3 linked regions of the Callithrix jacchus genome follow. The protein of the gene in region 1 interacts with the protein of each later gene in a pairwise test. Links are inferred from orthologs where the notes say so. Each region holds a gene or a part of one and is shown in the gene's direction. Other genes may lie near its edges.

The links.
Region 2: the proteins of KIFC3 (region 1) and CLIP4 interact in binary tests that used the Homo sapiens proteins (3 or more experiments, as listed by UniProt). The two-hybrid records come from large-scale screens. The link is inferred for Callithrix jacchus from reciprocal best matches to the Homo sapiens genes KIFC3 and CLIP4.
Region 3: the proteins of KIFC3 (region 1) and DEUP1 interact in binary tests that used the Homo sapiens proteins (3 or more experiments, as listed by UniProt). The two-hybrid records come from large-scale screens. The link is inferred for Callithrix jacchus from reciprocal best matches to the Homo sapiens genes KIFC3 and DEUP1.

Annotation. Positions count from the first base shown.
Region 1 is NC_133521.1:15,731,158-15,734,906, reverse strand, and holds the start of KIFC3 (kinesin-like protein KIFC3), read left to right. Parts: upstream 1-1,301; 5' UTR 1,302-1,326; coding exon 1,327-1,548; intron 1,549-3,749. UniProt on the Homo sapiens protein: Minus-end microtubule-dependent motor protein. Involved in apically targeted transport. Required for zonula adherens maintenance.
Region 2 is NC_133515.1:85,967,727-85,971,475, reverse strand, and holds the start of CLIP4 (CAP-Gly domain-containing linker protein 4), read left to right. Parts: upstream 1-1,310; 5' UTR 1,311-1,527; intron 1,528-3,749.
Region 3 is NC_133511.1:46,999,058-47,002,806, reverse strand, and holds the start of DEUP1 (deuterosome assembly protein 1), read left to right. Parts: upstream 1-1,433; 5' UTR 1,434-1,558; intron 1,559-1,764; exon of another isoform or gene 1,765-1,976; intron 1,977-2,031; exon of another isoform or gene 2,032-2,232; intron 2,233-3,199; 5' UTR 3,200-3,243; coding exon 3,244-3,272; intron 3,273-3,749. UniProt on the Homo sapiens protein: Key structural component of the deuterosome, a structure that promotes de novo centriole amplification in multiciliated cells.

The DNA of each region.
Region 1 (3,749 bases):
AATATGGAAAAAAGATCTCCACCTCTCAGAGGCGAGTCTCCCTCATAGAGGAAAAGAGGGAATAATAACAGGCACGAAAATACATGGACATTTTGTCTGTTGGAAGGTGTTAAATGCGACGACTAAAAAGAAAAATGAACCACCCAGACAGCAGAGTAAGGGGTGCCAAGAGCTGGGGCAGAGGTGGAAGAGGAGGAGTGAGCTGTGGTTTTAACTGAGGAGATCAGGGAGAGTCTTCTTGAGGAACAGGCACCTGAGCAGGTGTGGAGGGAGGGAGGGAGGGAGCCCTGTGGATATCTGGGCAGAGAGTGTCCAAGGTGGAAGAACCCATGCGAAGGCCCTGGGGCTGTCTGGCAGATTTTGGGAGCAGAGCAAAGGTGTCGGGAGGGATAGGAGGCTTGGAGCAGAGAGGGCTTGGGTGCCACTGCAAAACCTTAGTTTTTACTGGAAGCGATATGGGAGCTGTTGGGAATAGATGTTGGAAATAGATGCTCGGTGCCGCAAAGAAAAATCAGCCCTGAGACAAAGGATCTTTCAGCAACACAATTTTGGCTTCCGGAACTGCAGGAGGGGTGCTCTTGCCACCATCTTGCCACAAGAGTGGCACGGACGGCGTTGGGCAGAGTGAGGTGATTGCTTTTGGTTTTAACAGGGTCACTCAGGCCACTGAGTTGGGAGGTGATTACAGCGGGTCAAGGACTATTGCGGGAGTAGAGGGAGGGACGGCGGGACAGTGGCGGTGATGAGAAGTGGGCAGATTCTGGGTCATATCTGAAGGTTGAGCCAGCAGGAATTGTAACTGAGAGGATGTAGGGTGTGAACCAGAGTCCATGATGCCTGCCGTGTGCTTGGAGTCATCCAGAAAGGATGCAGGTGCTATTAGCTGGAATGAGAAGGCTGGAGGAGAAACCAGATTTGTGGGGAATGAAAATCAAAGTTTCAATTTGGACGTCTTGAATTCCCACTTGGCTGTCAGGAGCCTAGTTCACTTAATTTTTGTCTCCCTGCTATAAAAATTCTAATTCTTCTCAAGACCGTATGGGCTGCAGAGGAGACGCGCTGGCTAAATGACCGAAAGGGCAACATTTCAAGAACCCTGCTGGTGACTTGGGTCAGTCCCTGGAAACTGAAGACCCTGTCCTCAAAGCCTTTTAAATGCTGAGCTAATGACTGAATGCCTTCCTTGTTCAACACCACAGCTGCTGCAGGGTCCAGCTAGGAATTGGAGAACCAAGTAGAAAATTCCAGGGCACAGGCTGCTGTGGGCTCCAGAGTAGAAGACTGTGCTCCCACAGCCTGTCAGAGCGAGACGGGCTGCAGGCTGCCATGTTTGCCGTTCCAGCCCTGGTGTGGCTCTGTTCGAACACCTGGGCCCTGCGGAGGGGGCGGCGGGGAGAGTGGGACAGAGACTCCAGCACAGGCCAGGAGGAGGCCCCCTGCTGGCACTGGCCCAGCTCCACCACCTCCAAGGAAGATATTCTTGCTGAACTCCAATCCCCCTCCCCAGGGAGCATCCTGATCTCAGAGACACGAGGCTATGGCTTTCAGGTAAGGGACCTGCACCAGAACTTGCCTATGGGTTTACGCTACCTTTTTTTTTTTTTTTTACGCTCCCCACCAAGACAGAATCTTGCTCTGTTGCCCAGAGCTGGAGTGCAATGGCGTGATCTTGGCTCATTGCAACCTCTGCCTCCAGGGTTCAAGTGATTCTCCTGCCTCAGCCTCCCAAGTAGCTAGGATTACAGGCACATGCCACCACACCCAGCTAATTTTCGTATTTTTAGTAGAGACGGGGTTTCACCATGTTGGCCAGGCTGGTCTCGAACTCCTGACCTTGTGATCTGCCCACCTCGGCCTCCCAAAGTGTTGGGATTACAGGCATGAGCCACTGCGCGCAGCCTAGGCTGCCTTTAGATCAAGGAAAAAAACGTTTTTTTTTTTTTTTTTTTTTTGAGGTGGATTCTCACTCTCTTGCCCAGGCTGGAGTGGAGTGGTACAATTTTCGCTCACTGAAATCTTCATCTCCCAGGTTCAAGTGATTTTCCTGCCTCAGCCTCCCAAGTAACTGGGATTACAGGTGTAAACCACCATGCCCAGCTATTTTTGTATTTTTTTTTTAAAGATGGCGTTTCACCATGTTGGCCAGGATAGTCTTGAACTCCTGACCTCAGGTGATCCACCCACCTCAGCCTCCCAAAGTGCTAGGATTATAGGCGTGAGCCACCGCGCCTGGCTTATTTTTGTATTTTTAGTAGAGACAGGGTTTCACCATGTTGGCCAAGCTGGTCTGGAACTGCTGACCTCAAGTGATCTGCCTACCTTGACCTCCCAAAGTGCTAGGATTACAGGTGTGAGCCACCACGCCCGGCCAAGGAAAGAAACATCCACAGGGTGAAGTATTGATGCCTACCTTTAGGTCTTGCAAACATGTCTGAAGATTATTCAATTTAGATATTTCCAGTGTCTTCTATATTCTCAGAAGCTCCTGCCAACTGCCCGGATCTGACTCACAGAGCACCAGGGATTTTGTTTGTTTGTGTTATATTTTTCGTAGAGATGGGATCTTGCTGTGTTGCTCAGGCTTGTCTTGAACTCCTGGGCTCAAGTGATCCTCTATTTTCAGCCTCCTGGAATTCTGGGATTACAGGCCGAGGTCAGGAGTTCCAGACCAGCCTGGCCAATATGGTGAAACTCCATCTCTACTAAAAATACAAAAATTAGCTGGGCATGGTGGTGCGTGCCTATAATCCTAGCTACTTAGGAGGCTGAGGCAGGAGAATTGCTTGAACCTGGGACCATTTTTAAGACCATTTTTCTAATGATGAGTATCTATGCAGCCAGGGCATCAGGGCATCAGAACCCAGCACCACCAGTTCTTGGCAAGGGACTTGAGCAAGTCACTGGATCAGCCTGCACCTCAGTTTCCCCCTTTGTGAAAAGGGCTAACAGTAGGTGGTGATGAGGTGAAGCAGGTAAAGTGCACGGCCCAGAACCTTGCTGGCAGGAAGTGCCCAGTGTTCACATTCCGACTGTCTCATGGGCGAATCTCTGTCCAGTGGTTCAGAATTAATTGAAACTCCTTTAATCTGAAATATTTTACCCTGATTTGCCTATGAGATTATTTTATACACAATTCCTGGCACAGAGTAGATGCTGTATGATATTTATTTTTTTTGGGGGGGGGGAAGAATTTTATTCTTGATGCCCAGGCTGGAGTGCAGTGGTGCAATCTCATCTCACTGCAACCTCTGCCTCCCAGGTTCATGCGCTTCTCCTGCCTCAGCCTCCGAAGTAGCTGGAACTATAGACATGTGCCACCACACCTGGCTAATTTTTGTATTTTTAGTAGAGACAGGGTTTTGCCTTGTTGGTCAAGCTGGTCTTGAACTCCTGTCCCTCAGGTGATCTGCCTGCCTCTGCCTCCCAAAGTGCTGGGATTACAGGCATGAACCACTGTGCCTGGCTGTGCTCTATATTTATTTAGGGGATTTTTTTTTTTTTTTTTTTTGAGATGAAGTCTCACTCTTGTTGCCCAGGCTAGAGTGCAATGGCGCAATCTTGGCTCACTGCAACCTCCCAAGTTTAAGCAATTCTCCCGCTTCAGCTTTCTGAGTAGCTGGGATTACAGGTGCCTGCCACCACACCTGGCTAATTTTTGTATTTTTAGTAGAGATGGGGTTTCACTATGTTGTCCAGGCTGGTCTCAAACTCCTGACCTCAGGCTATCTGCCTGACTTGGCCTCTCAAAG
Region 2 (3,749 bases), on another chromosome or scaffold:
CAGAGTGATACCTCCTCAAGTTCTTCAATGTTCTTTATGGCAATAACATAATACTTTTTAGTTTGAAACAGAAAGATTACCCTCAGGAGTTTGAGACCAGCCTGGCCAACATGGTGAAAACCCGTCTATACTAAAAATACAACAAATTAGCCAGGCATGGTGGCACATGCCTGTAGTCCCAGCTACTTGGGAGGCTGAGGCAGGAGAATTGCTTAAGCCAGGGACAGAGATTGCAGTGAGCTGAGATCATGCTACTGCATTCCAGCCTGGATGACAGAGTGAGACTCCATCTCAAAAGAAAGATAAACAGACATAGGACCCTGATAACTGGAATTTTTTTTTTTTAAGTGAGAATACCTTTCTCCTAGAAATTGCCCAGTAATGGTTTGGCCAAGAAGGCTTGGAATTTATTAAGAGCTAGAGTCATGCCCCATGTTTTGTTTGTCAAACTCACTTTTTTAGTTGGAGACCAGAAAAATGCCACCACAGAGTACTTTCAGCTAAAATGAATGAAGTTAGGTTTTGTCTTTCCAAAGACTTGCCACAAGCCAAGAAGCTCTGGGCCTGGCATTGGACAGCAGTTCTTTCCTTGTGTGTGAAATGATGGCTGAGCTGTTTGCAGAAGAGAAAATCAACACAGACCAGCAATTTTTACTGCCCTACTCTGTTCCTTAGAGCATGTTAGCACGATTTCAAAACACACTGGGGCCACAGGTCTCTTGATAGTCAAAGAAACCCCTACAGCTTTGTGCTGGGTGCTGTGGCAATTTGGGCAAAGATGGGAAGTGTTTTGCCCTCCTAAGCTGAGCCTCTGGTAGTGACCACTCCCAGCACCCAAAGCTGCTTAGTGACCTCTTATGGGCTGCTTGCTCCCTCCTCTGTTCTTACCATTCCAGATTCCATGATACGAGGTTGAAGTTTGTGTCTCATAGACTCCATGACATCAGTGAAGCTTGTGTCTTATAGATGCAATATCCAATTTTGGAAATAGCTTCTTCTTGACTCACTTCAAGAAGTTAGACTAAACTTCAGAGAAACTGATATGGAAGGAGCCCCAGATGGGGATGCAGGGTGACCCAGGTCCTTAACAACTTGACAGTGACTTTGAGAGAGTCTTTTCAAACTTCCCATGCTACTTTGCTGTGAAGTGCGAGTCGAGGCCCCATTAATGTTTCTCCTGCCTCTGCCATTGCTGTTGGCAGCCTACAAGGTAGGTGAAGGGTCATAATAGCATCTGGCCCTTCCAATACACAATGCCATTATTGTGTATGTGCTGCCTGTGGGGTCACTGGCTGGTGCTTTCAAAGGAGGACTCCGCCTAAAGGAGGCCTGCGGGAGCCTGCTACCACCACTAGGCTTTCTGTAATTGGATCTGCATAGGGGCTTCAGGGAGTGTAGGATGAAAACATCTATTTCCATGTACTCCCAGCCAACATGCTGAACAGTCTGTACTCTTGCTGAGAAAGACCCATGAAGGACTGAAAATTCTTTTTCTAGGTGAACTGAGAAGACAGTCACATGATTTAGGTAAGTCTCACTAGAAAACCTCTTGTCTACACAGCCCTCTGAGGAAACTCATTTCTACTAAGGCAGAGGTAAGTATCCTGAACACAGTGTAGCATTATTTGAGACAGATGAGTGTGAGTTTCAGTAACTGAATGTCTATTGAGAGGCAACTTTGACATATCTTACGGAATGCAAACTTTTGTACATAATAGCATGATCAGAAAGTTCAGCGCTCCAAACCTATAAGGAGTATTAAAAATGCTTCACGGCCAGGTGCAGTGGCTCATGCCTGTAACCCTAGCACTTTGGGAGCCCCATTCAGGTGAATCACAAGGTGAGGGGTTCAAGACCAGCCTAGCCAAGGTGGTGAAACCCCACCTCTACTAAAAATACAAAAATTAGCTGGGCGTTGTGGTGGGTGCCAGTAATCCCAGCTACTTGGGAGGCTCAGGCAGAAAATTGCTTGAACCTGGGAGGCAGGGGTTGCAGTGAGCTGAGATCATGCCACTACACTCCAGCCTGGGCGACAGAGTGAGACTCCGTCTCAAAATAAATAAATAAATAAATAAATAAATAAATAAATAAATAAAATAAAAAGCTTCACAATTGACTTTTTTTCCTTTTTCTTCTTATAATCAATGAATAGATATTGCTACATTACTATGAACTAAAGCCCATAGTTTACATTAGGATTTACTTTTTGTATTTTACATTCATTGAGTTTTGGCAAATGCATAATGTCATGTGTCCACGCTTACAGTATCATCGAAATAGTTTCAGTGCACTTAAAAGTCTCTTGTGGGGGCCAGGCATGGTGGCACATGCCTGTAATTTCAGCACTTTGGGAGGCCAAGGCGGGCGGATCACCTGAGGTCAAAAGTTCGAAACCAGCTTGGTCAACGTGGTGAAACCCCAATTAAAAAAAAAAAATCTCTTGTGTTCCACCTGGTCATCCTTCCTGCCCTATTTGCCAGCCCTGACAACCACTGATGATTTTATGGTCTCCATATTTTCACCCAGCTTTTTCAGACTGGCTGAAATGCAGTTAAGTTTTCTCCCTGTTTGTTTGTGGCCTGATAGCTCATTACTTTTTGTCCCTGGATAATATTCCCCTGTATAGAGGTACTATGGTTTGTTTATCCATTTACCTATTGAAGAATGTCTTGGTTGTTAACAATTTTGGCAATTATGAATAAAGCTGCTACTGACATTCATGTACAGGTTCTCGTTTGGACATAAATTTTCGGATCACTTGGGTAAATGCCTAGAAGCATGATTGTTAGATCATGGTAAGACTGTGCTTAGCTTTGTAAGAACGGCCAAGCAATGTTTGAAAGTGGCCTAACCATTCATTCACCAGCAATGCATGAGAGTTTCTGTTGCTCCACATCCTCACCAGCATTTGCTGTTGTTGGTGTTTAGGATTTTAGCCATTCTGATATGTGTGTAGTGGTATCTCATGGTTGTTTTGATCTGCAGTTCCCTAATGACATATGATGTTAGCCTCTTTTCATATGCTTATTTACTCTCTGTGTATCTTCTTTGCTGAGGTGTCTATTCAGAGTTTTTGCCCATTTAAAAAATTGAATTTTCTTTTTGTTAAATTTTAAGGCTTCCTTCTATATTATGGATAACAGTCTTCACCAGTATGTGTTTTGCAAAGATTTTCTCCTAGTCTGTGGCTTGTCTTTTCACTGTCTTAACAGGATCTTTCACAGAACAGAAAGATATATTTTAAAAATATAATGAAGTTCATTTTGCCAATTTTTTCTTTTATGAATTATGCCTTTGGTGTTGTATCTAAAAAGTCATCAGCAAACCCAAGGTCATTCAGATTTTCTCCTATGTTATCTTCTGGATGTTTTATAGTTTTGAATTTTACATTTATGTCTGTGATCCACTTTGAGTTAATTTTTGTAAGAAGTGTAAGATCTGTGTCTGGATTCCTTTATTTGTATGTGGGTGTCCAGTTGTTCTAGGACCGTTTATTTAAAAGATTATCCTTTTTTTCCATTGGATTGTCTTTGCTCCTGTGTCAGTGATCAGTGGACTATATTTGAGTGAGTATATTTCTGGGCTCTCTAGTAGATTCTATTGATTTATTTGTGTATTCTTCTGACAATGCCACAATCTTGGTGACTGTAGCCTTGTAGTATATCTTTTTTGTTTTATTTTATTTTTTATTGCATTTTAGGTTTTGGGGCACATGTGAAGAACATGCAAGATTGTTGCATAGGTACACA
Region 3 (3,749 bases), on another chromosome or scaffold:
TATTTATTTCCTGTAATTGCTTTCTTAGCTTTTCTGGCATAGGTCATCCTTATTCTTCATCCATTTATTCCCACTATATTCTCCTTTGACCATTTCTGGTTATATTTTATCTTATCGTCACTTTGCCATGTTCTCCAATTTTCTTTCATCACTAAGTTCTCTTGTCACCTCTCACTAGCCCTGTTTAGAAAGCTTTGCACCTGGCCACACTCGTCCTGTCCTTTAGACTGGGGCCTTCCTGTTCTCATCCCTTTCAAAACAAACTTACCTGAAAATATCTAATAATAAAGACATTTCAGGGTTAATTCAAGTCTTCACAGTTACTTCTTACTAGTAGGGTAGGGGACAGGTATTTGCATTTAAAATCTTAACTCTCATCCTGAAATGAAAACCTTTATTTGTATTCAATTGAATGGGGTGTTCCTATTCTATATTTAAATTTTCCTAAAATCCATTATAGCATGTGTCTTATCACACGTTTTCACAAGCCTTCCCCTGCACCTCTCTTCTGTGTAAAAACATGAAACCTACGGTTTACTAAGGAAGATCCTGGCTGCTAAAGAAACCAACTCAATCTTAATGTTTGGAGAACACTGGATTTGGAGTAAGATGATCTAGGTTCATGTCTCAATGAATCATCCATTTCAAGTGCAAGTAGATGGACAAATCCATGGACATATCCTTCATTCTCTCTAAGCCTGGGTTTTCTAATCTTCTGAAAGGAGCTATTAATAACATCTGACACACTTGCTAAGTGTATAGGGTATTTCTGAACCTCTAAAGTAATAATGAACATGGAGGTACTTACCAATGTTACATAGCCTTAGTGATCTTGGGCATCTGAGATTTCACTAAATTTCATTCCTTGTTCCATTTTCCCTTCCTTGGGTTAGAAAAAATACATTGACCCAGTCAATTCAGACAAGAATAAAAAATATAACTAAGAGTTTTCAGAATAATGAAAAGTTTCAGGTTAAAATGGCATGATCACTCTCTTCATGCAAACATGAGAGCTATGAAACACTTATTAGAACTAATATCCCAGGTTACTCTATTCATCTGTGAAGCTCAATTTGTCAAGAAACAGCATAATGGTTTTATAAAATCCAGAGGGAACCTGGGTGGAGGGATGTGGGTGAGCATTAAATTGATAGAATATTAAAGTAGAAAATGAGCGTTAAAGTGATGAAAGTAGAGTGCAAATAAAAGACTTTAAGAATAAAAAGTAGTCAACTCCATGTATTAGGAAGGACTTCTGTGGCTAAAATAAATCAAACACAAAATTCAAGTGCTTAAAACAGATCACTCAAGGTGTCAGTTGGAAAACATATATTCTTTCCTATCATTTCCTCTATGAAATGAAGAGAGAAATTTGTCATCAATGACTCTTGGAATTTGGTGGGAAAAGGAAGGAATTTGGAATCAGTCCCACTGAGTTTCGTTCCAGCTTCTCCACTTAGAAGCCATTCATTCCCTTCTCCCTGAAGGGAGGCAACACTGTCCCGCTCGCCTGACTGGCAGTTTTCTAAGAACCCATCATAGGTGACGGGAAAGCCAGGTACAAGCTGGAGTCACCACAGAAACCAGGGACTGAGCAGTGAAATCCAGCTCCTCCCAGCTGGAAGACAGTCGGGTGAACGGAAAGGAAATCAGTTCTCTTTACCCCACGTTTCTTTTTCATACCACTTCAAATTTGAGTAAGAGGAAAGAGGGCCAAGGGGATTTAAAGAACCTGGCTGACAACTCCCCAGCGGTCTACAGTACCTTTGTGATCGCCTTGTTTCATTAAGTCAACAAGTATTTCGGGCTGCAGCTGGGTGCTGGGCCCTGGGGTAGCAGTGGGACTACAAAGAAGAAAATCCCAGAATACAGGGGACACTGGACACATAACTGCGGGATAGCGAGGTCGCGCTGGCGCGGGGCGAGGTTGGAGGCAGCCGAGGAGCCCCCGCAAGGGCCGCGTCCGCCGCCGCCTCGCCCTTCCCCCACCCCGACAGCCGCGAGTTTGCCCGCGACGTCCCCATGGCAACCAGCGGCGGCGCGGCGCGCTGGGAGGGAGAGCCCCAACAGCCTAGAGGGCCGCGCGGCTGGAGGGCCTAGGCGGCGGGAGCTCGGCGGCGGGTGGCGGGCCCCCTTGGGGCGGGCCTGGCCGGGCGGGAGGTGACCTACGCGGTCCTGCGCCCCGGGCCTCAGACCTCTCGGGCAAGCGCGGCGCGGTGCGGTGCAGCGCAGGTAATGGCTCTGAGCTTCCCCGGCCCTTCCTCGCCCTTGAACCTCACCCTCTCCCTTCAGCCGGGCTGGCGCGGGATATCCAGCGGGACAGGGGGGCCCCGAAAAGGGCGGCTGCTCTGCAGGAGGCTGGGCTTGAACTGAGCGCGGGTCCCGTCGGGGCGCGTGGCGGGGAAACAGAGGCTGGGAGGGGAGGCCCGCCCTTGGAAATGCAGAGCAGAGCTGCGCCCTAGGTTAGAAGGCCTGGGCTCTAGTCGTGTGGCCTTGGGCAAGTCACTTAACTTGTCTGTGCCTCAGTTTCCCTGACGTTTAAGTGAGGGATTTGAGAACCTACAAAACCATTTATTCGTCTGCTCGTTCTGGTCAAGTTTTTTTTTCACCATCCCTGCTCGTCTCCAGTCTGCCCCGCACACAATTCCTGGGTCTCGCTTAAACTCTTCGATTTGGAAGTGTTGTGAGTCTGAATCTTCCTCCTCTTTCTACTCCCTTGAATCCTTTTTAATTAACTTTTATTCAGTGATTCAGAGGAGTTTTCAATACTTTCTCCAATTATCGTCATAGAATATTTTTTAGCTAAAATTTTGTTACCGTGAAAAACTTTTTTAAAAATTTTAACTTTAGGCAAGTACTAACGTCCCTAAAATTAGCCGGGTGTGGTGGCGTGCGCCTTTAATTCCAGCTATTCAGGAGGCTGAGGCAGGAGAATTGCTTGAACCCAGGAGGAGGTTGCAGTGAGCAAAGATTACGCCACTGCACTCCAGCCTGGGCGACAGAGCGAGACACGTTCTCAAAAAACAAACAAACAAAAAACTCCACAAAACAAATTCAAGTTTCTATATTTTTTAGGACCAAGAGCTACTACTATACAGAAAAACTCATACTAAGTGGTTTTTGCAGTAGGAACATTTTTATGTTTTATAGGTTAATGAATATAAACATTTTAGGAATTTGTGTCATTTTCCTCCAACAGGTTAAAAATCAAGAAATATAAACCAGATGTAGCAGTTTCTTGACATGGAGAACCAAGCCCATAATACAATGGGGTAAGTGCTGGGAAATTTCTGTTTAAATAAGTGCATACTTAACTATGCCAAAAACTTCCTGAGAACACATGAATTTTGGAATTTACTGTTAATAGAAGGATATGCCAATTGTTTTCGGTGAGGCGGATGAGAGGAAATACCAAGTGACTGTAATCAAGGATTATAATGTGAGTCTTTCTGATTTTGACACTACAGATCTGCACTCAAAAATCAGTTTTCCAACTTTTAGTGACTGTCTGATGTCTAAGGGTGATGGATACCAAGGCAGGCCTTATGTGCTCTTATATTACCACAATGCAGCCTCTTCGCCAGCTTGTTCCTTTTTTTGCTGCATTGAGTATCTCAAGTTTCCCTCTATTCTTGTCCATTAAGGCTGAACTCAACACTTAAACATAGCCTCAGAATAGATCCAACTCCATAAAAACATCAACAAGAAGTAAATATTTTACCAAAAGTTTCACGAAGAGATGAGGAATA